Linked DNA regions of Sus scrofa. The protein of the gene in region 1 interacts with the protein of each later gene in a biochemical or structural test. Links are inferred from orthologs where the notes say so. Each region holds a gene or a part of one and is shown in the gene's direction. Other genes may lie near its edges.

Evidence for each region.
Region 2: the proteins of ATR (region 1) and ATRIP form a complex in vitro, tested with the Homo sapiens proteins (4 studies listed by BioGRID and IntAct, with this or other methods). The link is inferred for Sus scrofa from reciprocal best matches to the Homo sapiens genes ATR and ATRIP.

Annotation. Positions count from the first base shown.
Region 1 is NC_010455.5:83,272,694-83,276,512, reverse strand, and holds part of ATR (serine/threonine-protein kinase ATR), read left to right. Parts: coding exon 1-657; intron 658-1,476; coding exon 1,477-1,655; intron 1,656-2,079; coding exon 2,080-2,271; intron 2,272-3,819. UniProt on the Homo sapiens protein: Serine/threonine protein kinase which activates checkpoint signaling upon genotoxic stresses such as ionizing radiation (IR), ultraviolet light (UV), or DNA replication stalling, thereby acting as a DNA damage sensor.
Region 2 is NC_010455.5:31,158,396-31,162,880, forward strand, and holds the start of ATRIP (ATR-interacting protein), read left to right. Parts: upstream 1-1,453; 5' UTR 1,454-1,553; coding exon 1,554-1,800; intron 1,801-3,462; coding exon 3,463-3,593; intron 3,594-4,485. UniProt on the Homo sapiens protein: Required for checkpoint signaling after DNA damage. Required for ATR expression, possibly by stabilizing the protein.

The DNA of each region.
Region 1 (3,819 bases):
CCAGTGGTAGTTAGCCGATTTTTAAGTCAATTAGATGAACATGTGGGATATTTACAACCAGCTCCTTTGCAGTTTATGAACATGCAAAATTTAGAGTTTCTTGAAGTCACTTTATTAACGGTTCTTATTCGTATTATTGCAACTGTGTTTTTTAGAAGACAAGAACTTTTACTTTGGCGGATTGGTTGTGTTCTGCTAGAGTGTGGTAGTCCAAAAATTAAAGCCTTAGCAATTAGGCTTTTAACTGAACTCTTTGAGCTTGGAGGACTACCAGCACAACCAGCTAGCACTTTCTTCAGTTCATTTTTGGAATTATTAAAGCACCTTGTAGACATGGATGCTGACCAGCTGAAACTCTATGAAGAGCCATTGTCAAAGCTAATAAAGACATTATTCCCCTTTGAAGCAGAAGCTTATAGAAATATTGAGCCTGTCTATTTAAATATGCTGCTAGAAAAACTCTGTGTCATGTTTGAAGACGGTGTGCTTGTGCAGCTTAAGTCTGATTTGCTAAAAGCAGCTTTATGCCACTTGCTGCAGTATTTCTTTAAATATGTGCCAGCTGGGTATGAATCTGCTTTACAAGTCAGGAAGGTGTATGTGAGAAATATTTGTAGAACTCTTGTGGATGTGCTTGGGGTTCAGGTAGAAGCAGAGGTAAGTCTTTTTTAAGATTACTTGTTAAGTATGTATTCTGTTCTTCATTGTATGCATATATGCAAATGTAATAATGAGAAGATAGAGTATCTTTAATAATACAAATGTACATTCAAAATGGGATGATTTTCATAATCTACTTTGGCTTCCTATTATGGATTTTTAATTGGATTTCAGAAAGATTTGTTCACTACATTGGTAATGAACTGCCAAGGCAGTAGAATGTTTTAAAGTAGAGTTTGTTGCCTTATTAATTAAAAGAGGGTCAGTTATCAACTTAATTGCAAAAACTTTGAGCACACACATGGATTTTTCTTTGACAGGTTGTAACAATTACTTTTAGAAAACCTATAGGTATATAGTACTAGTCATGTCAAATTATGCCCTTTTTTGGAGTATGGGATACAGGTAGTACAATAAAATAGATATGCAATAAGTTGATTAAATAGTTTATTTTATCTGTAAGTCTTGCTAAATTTGTAGTATGAAAGAAGTTAGTGGTTCCCTTTAGGAATTAAGAATTTTTCTTTGTGCCATTGTGGTCAAGTGAAAAACAGATTAGAGAGAGAAGGAGTTGTCTGAGGCTATCTAAGACTATAGAACCATAGTTCTAGATGTAGAACTATGTATGTGTCTATTTATAGACTCTGAAATAGTATAGATTAACTTAGGTCTTTGTTTTGCTTGATGAGACTGAAAATAGTCTCATCAAGCAACCTTATTAAAAACCTTATGTGAAATCTTATAACTAATACCTAATGCATTTTTGCTATCTGTGAATAATATAAACTTACCTTAAAATTATTTTTGCTTCCTCAGTATTTGTTGGGCCCACTTTATGCAGCCTTGAAAATGGAAAGTATGGAAATCATTGAGAAGGTTCAGTGCCAAATTCAACAGGAAAACCCCAGCAGTAATAGTGATGGACTATCACCCAAACGGCGTCGACTCAGCTCATCTCTAAATGCTTCCAAGAGAGCACCAAAACAGACTGAGGAGTATGACCTTGATTCAGTTTGTATTTAGCCACTTAATAAAACTTTATTCACTTAAAAATCACCTTAAATTCTTTGACTTAAATACACGGAGTGCATTTTTTTTCTTTCTATAGGTTGTCAAAGGAATGCTTAAAATATTTTAATATTTCTTTTTGTAGTCTATTCCAGTATAAAAGATTTCATGGCTAATTTAACTTTTTAACACATGAAAAATCTTGAGATGATAGATCAGCTATTTTAAAAATGTTAAACTATTTTTTGTAATGTAGTCAAAGAATACTCATTTTTCAGCCAACTGTAAAAGTTGTTTTAAATTTCAGTAGTTGCCATTACATGCTGTCTTTTGTTTTAAGTATTTTTCATATGTGAGCAAAATTTGTATTGAATATGAATACCTTTATACTCTGGTTATAATTAATTACAGATTTAAACATGTGGATGTGAACAAAAAGAGCATATTATGGAATTTACTGAAACAGAAAGCTGAATCCCTTCAGAATTTCCTTGAATTCAATAATATGAAGAATCCAGTTATTGAGACATTAGAAGGAATCTCTGTCATCCTACAACTGACTGCTCTGTGTACTGTTCATTGTTCTCATCAAAACATGGACTGGTAAAACAACTTGCATTTTCTGGGTGGATTTCATGTAATAAATTTGAATTTATTGTTTTAGGAGACCTCTTTACTTGATTTTTGTGACCTTGGAACACAAACTTTTCAGTGAAATAAAAATTTTTTAGGAGTTCCCTTCATGGCTCAGTGGTTAACAAACCTGACTAGAATCCATCAGGATGTGGGTTCAATCCCTGGCCTTGCTCAGTGGGTTAAGGATCTGGCATTGCTGTGTGCTGTGGTGTAGGTCACAGATGTGGCTTGGATCCTGCATTGCTCTGACTGTGGCATAGGCTGGCAGCCGTAGCTCTGATTCGACCCCTAGCCTGGGAACTTCCATATGCCTCAGGTGCGGCCCTAAAAGGCAAAAAAAAAAAAAAAAATTTCTTTTAAGCATTCCCATCATGGTTCAGCAGAAACAAGTCTGACTAGTATCCATGAGGATGCAGGTTGGATCCCTTTCCTCCCTGAGTGGGTTAAGGATCTGGCATTGCCATGAGCTATGGTGTTAGGTTGCAGATGTGGCTCAGATCTGGCATTGCTGTGGCATAGGCCAGAAGGTATAGCTCCAATTCGACCCCAAGCCTGGAAACCTTTATATGCCATGGGTATGGCCCTAAAATGATAAAAAAAATTTTTGATTAAGCACTCACTAAATGCCAGGTACTGTATTAAGTACTATACATATCTTATTTAATCTTTACAACAGTTTTATGAAGAAAATGCTCTTATGTCCATTTTACACATTAGAAATTGAGGCTCAGAGAAATTGAGGCCCTTTTTTGTTTGAAGCCTAAACTAACTTTCCTGGGCATATATGATTACAGAGTAGAACACATTTTTATACATTTCAAAAGCCAGTGCTCTTCTAACCAAACATTTAGTCAAAAGACCTTTGCCCGTCAATAAATAAAAGTAAGAATTTAGAACTCGTTAGGTGTATATTTCCAGTCTAGTATCTTAGCATGAGGTAATTATTCCATCAGAAGAAACAAAGTGTGGACCCTCTTTGAAGATTTAGTCTTATTTTTACTGCCACATTATAGACTAACACTCCTTGTTCATTTTTTACAAGATCATTCATTCTGTATTTCCTGACTCACACTTAAATAGTTAATACAAAGTTATGAAGGAGATTTTTAAAGAACTATAGGGAGTTCACTACTGGGCTTAGCAGTAACGAACCCAACTAATATTCATGGACATGGATTAGATCCCTGGATTCGCTTAGTGAGTTAAGGATCTGGGGTTGCCATGAGCTGTGGTGTAGGCTGGCAGCTATAGCTCCAATTCGACCCCTAGCCTGGGAACTTCCGTATTGTCGTGGGTGTGGCCTTAAAAACTATAATAATTAGATTGCATTAAATTTGGAATGTGAGATAACTTGAAAGAATAGCTATACTTAGGGTGAAGTCTGCTTTTGTCCTATTATTAAAAAAGGGTTTACACAGGTGTATCTTATGTTATTTTAAAGCCTGGTCATGTCACATTTAAATATCGTAGATTAATTTTTTTTTTTCTTTTTAGTGCTGCAAGTGGGGCATATGG
Region 2 (4,485 bases), about 52 Mb from region 1:
TTGCCCCAGTTCCTCTCCAACACCGTTCCTGTTAACCATCCTGCACATCACTGCTGCCTAACAAAATCCTGTTAGCCACTCAAGCCCAGAAGTCCCCTCTAACACCTTCCCTCTTAGCCAGAGATAACTTCTGCCTAGCACTTGTGTGACCTCCATTTTAGTGTCATATTCTTGTCTGAGGAGTAGTCTTTTTTTTTTTTTTTTTTTTAAGGGTAGCACTCGTGGCATATGGAGGTTCCCAGGCTAGGCATCAAATTGAATCTGTAGCCACTGGCCTACACCACAGCCACAGCAACTCATGATCTAAGCCGTGTCTGCGACCTACACCACAGTCCACAGCAACACCAGATCCTTAACCCACTGAGTGGGGCCAGAGGTCAAACCTGCGTCCTCATAGATACTAGTCAGGTTCATTTCTGCTGAGCCATGACAGGAAGTCCTTGTTTGAGTAGTCTTGTGTGCCATCCTCCTTGCTAACTCTTGATAAAACTCCCACTGAACCTGTAGGACAGCCCAGGTAACACTTAAGGGGGCCTGCCTTGAACTGAGTCTCATGCATTTCTTTTTTGTCTTCTTAGGGCTGCACCCCCGGCATATGGAAATTCCTAGGGTAGGGGTGAATCCGAGCTGTAGCTGCCAGCTTATGCCACAGCCAAAGCAATGCTGGATCCTTAAGCCACTGAGTGAGGCCAGGGATTGAACCCTCATCCTCATGGATACTAGTCGGGTTCATTACCGCTGAGCCACAATGGGAATTCCCTCATGCATTTCTATATGACCAAGCACTTGGGACAAAAACACCTAAGAGCTCTCTGAGAAATGAATGAATGAATATTAACAGCCTGAGCTGTTAGTTCCCACCCCCTCCAACACAGACACACTCTTCTCAGGATCATTCCTTTACTCCTTTTTTTCTATTGACCTACCTCAAATGCACACATTCAAAACATTTACTGTTCTCAAAAAGATGTGTGCTCACAACAGCGCTGTTCATACTCCTAGCCCAGCCCCCCTCTCCAAGACTCCTCCCCAAGAAAGCCTCGAGGTATATGTGAAGTGGTTCAGGCTGGAGGACAGTCAGGTCACAAGGACCCTGAATGTGAATGCTGCCTGCCTCGATTCACGCGTGTGAATGTCCGGGCATGAATTTGTGAATATCAGGAGGGCGAACTCCTCCAGCACAGCAAACCCTATGGGATGTCAAGAAGCTGGCACAGAGCCACCCCGGCGGTGGGGCTGGTGAGTCACCCCAGGTTAACTTGGCTCACATTGCACAAAGCACCCGCCAGGCCCACTGAGTCCTAACCGCCAGTACCTGAGCAGCAAACAGGGTGGGGCCCAGAGGCGGAGAACAAATAGGCAGACACTCAGTTGAGCGCAGTAGCGCGCTCAGATTATGTCATCCCTCCGCGCCTAAGAACTGGCAGCTGATTGGCCCCTTGGCTCCGGGGCGTGGCACAGCGGCTGAGGCAAGTGGCGGCGCGCGAGCGGTTGGTCCCCGCTCCTGGATAGAGGCCGGACTCCGTTCCTTCGGAGACTGGCCGGCGGCAGGCATGGCTGGAATACCCACGCCAGGCAGCAGGAGGCGAAGCGGACCCCCGGCACCCAATCCTGGCCCGCCGCCCAGCCCCGGGCACCCTCCGAGCAAGCGGGCCCGGGGCTTCCCAGCGGCCGCCGCTCCTGACCCCGAAGACCCTTTCGGCGCCCATGGGGATTTCACCGCCGACGACCTGGAGGAGCTGGACACCCTCGCGTCACAGGCCCTGAGCCAGTGCCCGACCACGGGTCGGGACATGTCCAGTGAGTGCGCCTCGGGGCCTTTTCCCCCGAGGATAATGCAGCCCTTGCCAGACCCCCTAGAAGACTGGGGAATCCCTCAGCGACCGCTGCCACGGTGTCTTGCACCCACATTACTCCTTCACCTTTTAAAAATACAGGAACAGCTTGATTTAAGCAGCGGTTGTGCCCGAAAAGGTCCTTTGATTTGGGGGAGAAATATATCAGGAATGTCAGACAGCCTATTTAAAATATAGAAAGCTAGGTTGACATTTTACTTTAGTTCCTATAGTTTGGACCACTAGGATCCTTGGAACATGATTACCACTGCCATCAGAACCCCCACCATTACTACCTACACATGAGGACCCATTCTTAGGACAGGTTTGAGTGGCTTTAGAACTAATGTCACGGCCAAAGCAATGCTGGATCCTTAAGCCACTGAGTGAGGCCAGGGATTGAACTCTCATCCTCATGGATACTAGTTGGGTTCGTTACGGCTGAGCCACAACTGGAATTCCCTCACGCATTTCTATGTGACGAAGCACTTGGGACAAAAACACCTAAGAGCTCTCTGAGAAATGAATGAATGAATGAGCCTGAGCTGTTAGTTCCCACCCCTTCTAACATGGGTCCTTTTCCCTTTTCCCATAAGGATAAGATGGGCTTGGAAGTAGCAAGAGGTAGAAGAGACATTCTTTTATACAACCAATAAATTGTATGAGGTGCCAAACTTTAAGAGCTGCAGACACTTAACAGTGAACAAAAGACAGAAGCCCCTTCCTTCATGGAGCTTACATTCTAGGTGGGAAATAAGTGAAGGCTTGTGGGACTTCACTGACTTCGCTTCATTCCTTGAATTCTCCCTGCTCCTTACCATATAGAAACTGCACATTGCTGTTTCTTATGCATTGAGTATTCTTTCCATCCATTCCCCATCCCCACTCACCTGCTTAATTCCTGCTTGTTCTTCAGCTCTCAGTTCAGTTATCACTTCCCTACAGAAGCACTCCAATCATTCACTTGGATCAAATCTCCTAGTATGGGCTTTCCTATATTTGTTCTTTTCTGCAGCTCTTATAACAATTGTGATTTTACATTTATTCGTGTATTTTTTACTGCCATGTAAGCTGCATGAGTGTAAGGACTGTATCCATTTTGCTCACCACTGTACCTTTCTTTTGAGGCTAAATTGTGCCTGGCATATTGTAGGTCCTCAGTAAATATTGTTGATAATAGACCTCTGAGTTCTGATCAGTGAGACCAGAGCACCTTTCAACTTTAGGTAAGACTCTTAAAAAGGGGTGGGAAGGAATTCCTGCTGTGGCGCAGTGTGTTAAGAATCCGACTGCAGTGGCTTAGGTTGCATCCCTGGCCAGGCACAGTGGGTTAAGGATTTGGAATTGCCACAGCTGTGCCATAGGCAGTCAGTCCCTGGACTGGGAACTTCCATGTGCCACCAGTGTGGCCATAAGTGGAAAAAAAAAAATTGGATGGGGAATGGGGAGAGGTTGGCAGGATCTGTTCTTTCATAAGGATTCAATTATGTTCTTATGTTGGACAATACCTATATTGCTTACTATATCTTTCTCTAATTTGCTTTCCAAAGTGATTATTTTCAGCATTGTCTGGTAAAAATGGAAAAATATTAGGTCCTGAAAAGTACATGGGAACTGTTTTTTACAGATGTTCAAAAGGTCCCCAGATTAGATGGAATGCCAAAAAATCCTACAGGGAAAAAGAGAGAAAGTGCTCCAGTTAAAGATAATTTTGAATTAGAGGTACTTCAGTTACAATACAAAGAACTTAAAGAAAAGGTAAGTGATTTAACTTGTGTTTTTTATAGTTAATTAATTCACGTATGCATATGTTATTAAAATATATATATATATATATATATAAGTTTAAGAGCCCAGACATTCCTACCATGGCATGGCAGTTAAGTATCTGGTATTGTCTTTGCAGTGGCATGGGTTCCATCCAGTGTGGCCACAGTGGCACCACAGGCCACAGCTGTGGCTCAGATTCGATTCCTGGCCTGGGAGCGTCCATATGCCCCGGATGTGACAAAAAGCAAAAAAAGAGTCCAGATTGATCCCCATGAATTGGGAGAAAGCTATGGAAAGAAAGCCAGAAAATTTTGGTGGAACTAAATCCTGAAATTCCTAACAGCCAAAGCAAGAAAGGAAACACTGTAACACTGTATACCATATCAAAAAGAGATACAAACTTGTTATAGCATTGAGATAAATTTATAGCATGTCTTAGTTAAAAAACACATCCTAATGGTTACTATTTTCATTAGCAGTTTTGTAAAAAAGCAGAAGTCCTCCATATGACCCTTTACAGTTCCCTAGAAAAACTAAGAACATAACAGGGAGGGAGTTTCCGTTGTGGTTCAACAGGTTAAGAACCCAGAAAAATGTCCTGAGGATCCCTGGCCTCAGTCAGTGGGTTAAAGATCCGGTGTTGCTGTGCCTCTGTGGTGTAGGTTGAAGATGCAGCTCTCATCCAGCATTGCTATGGCATAGGCCGGCAGCTGCACTCTGATTCAACCCCTAGCCTGGGAACTTATATATGCCCAAGGTGTGGCCATAAAAAAATTAATAATAATGAAAAAAAAGAACATAATATGAGAGTTCCCATTGTGGCACAGCAGAAACAAATCCGGCTAGTATCCATGAGGATGTGGGTTCTATCCCTGGCCTC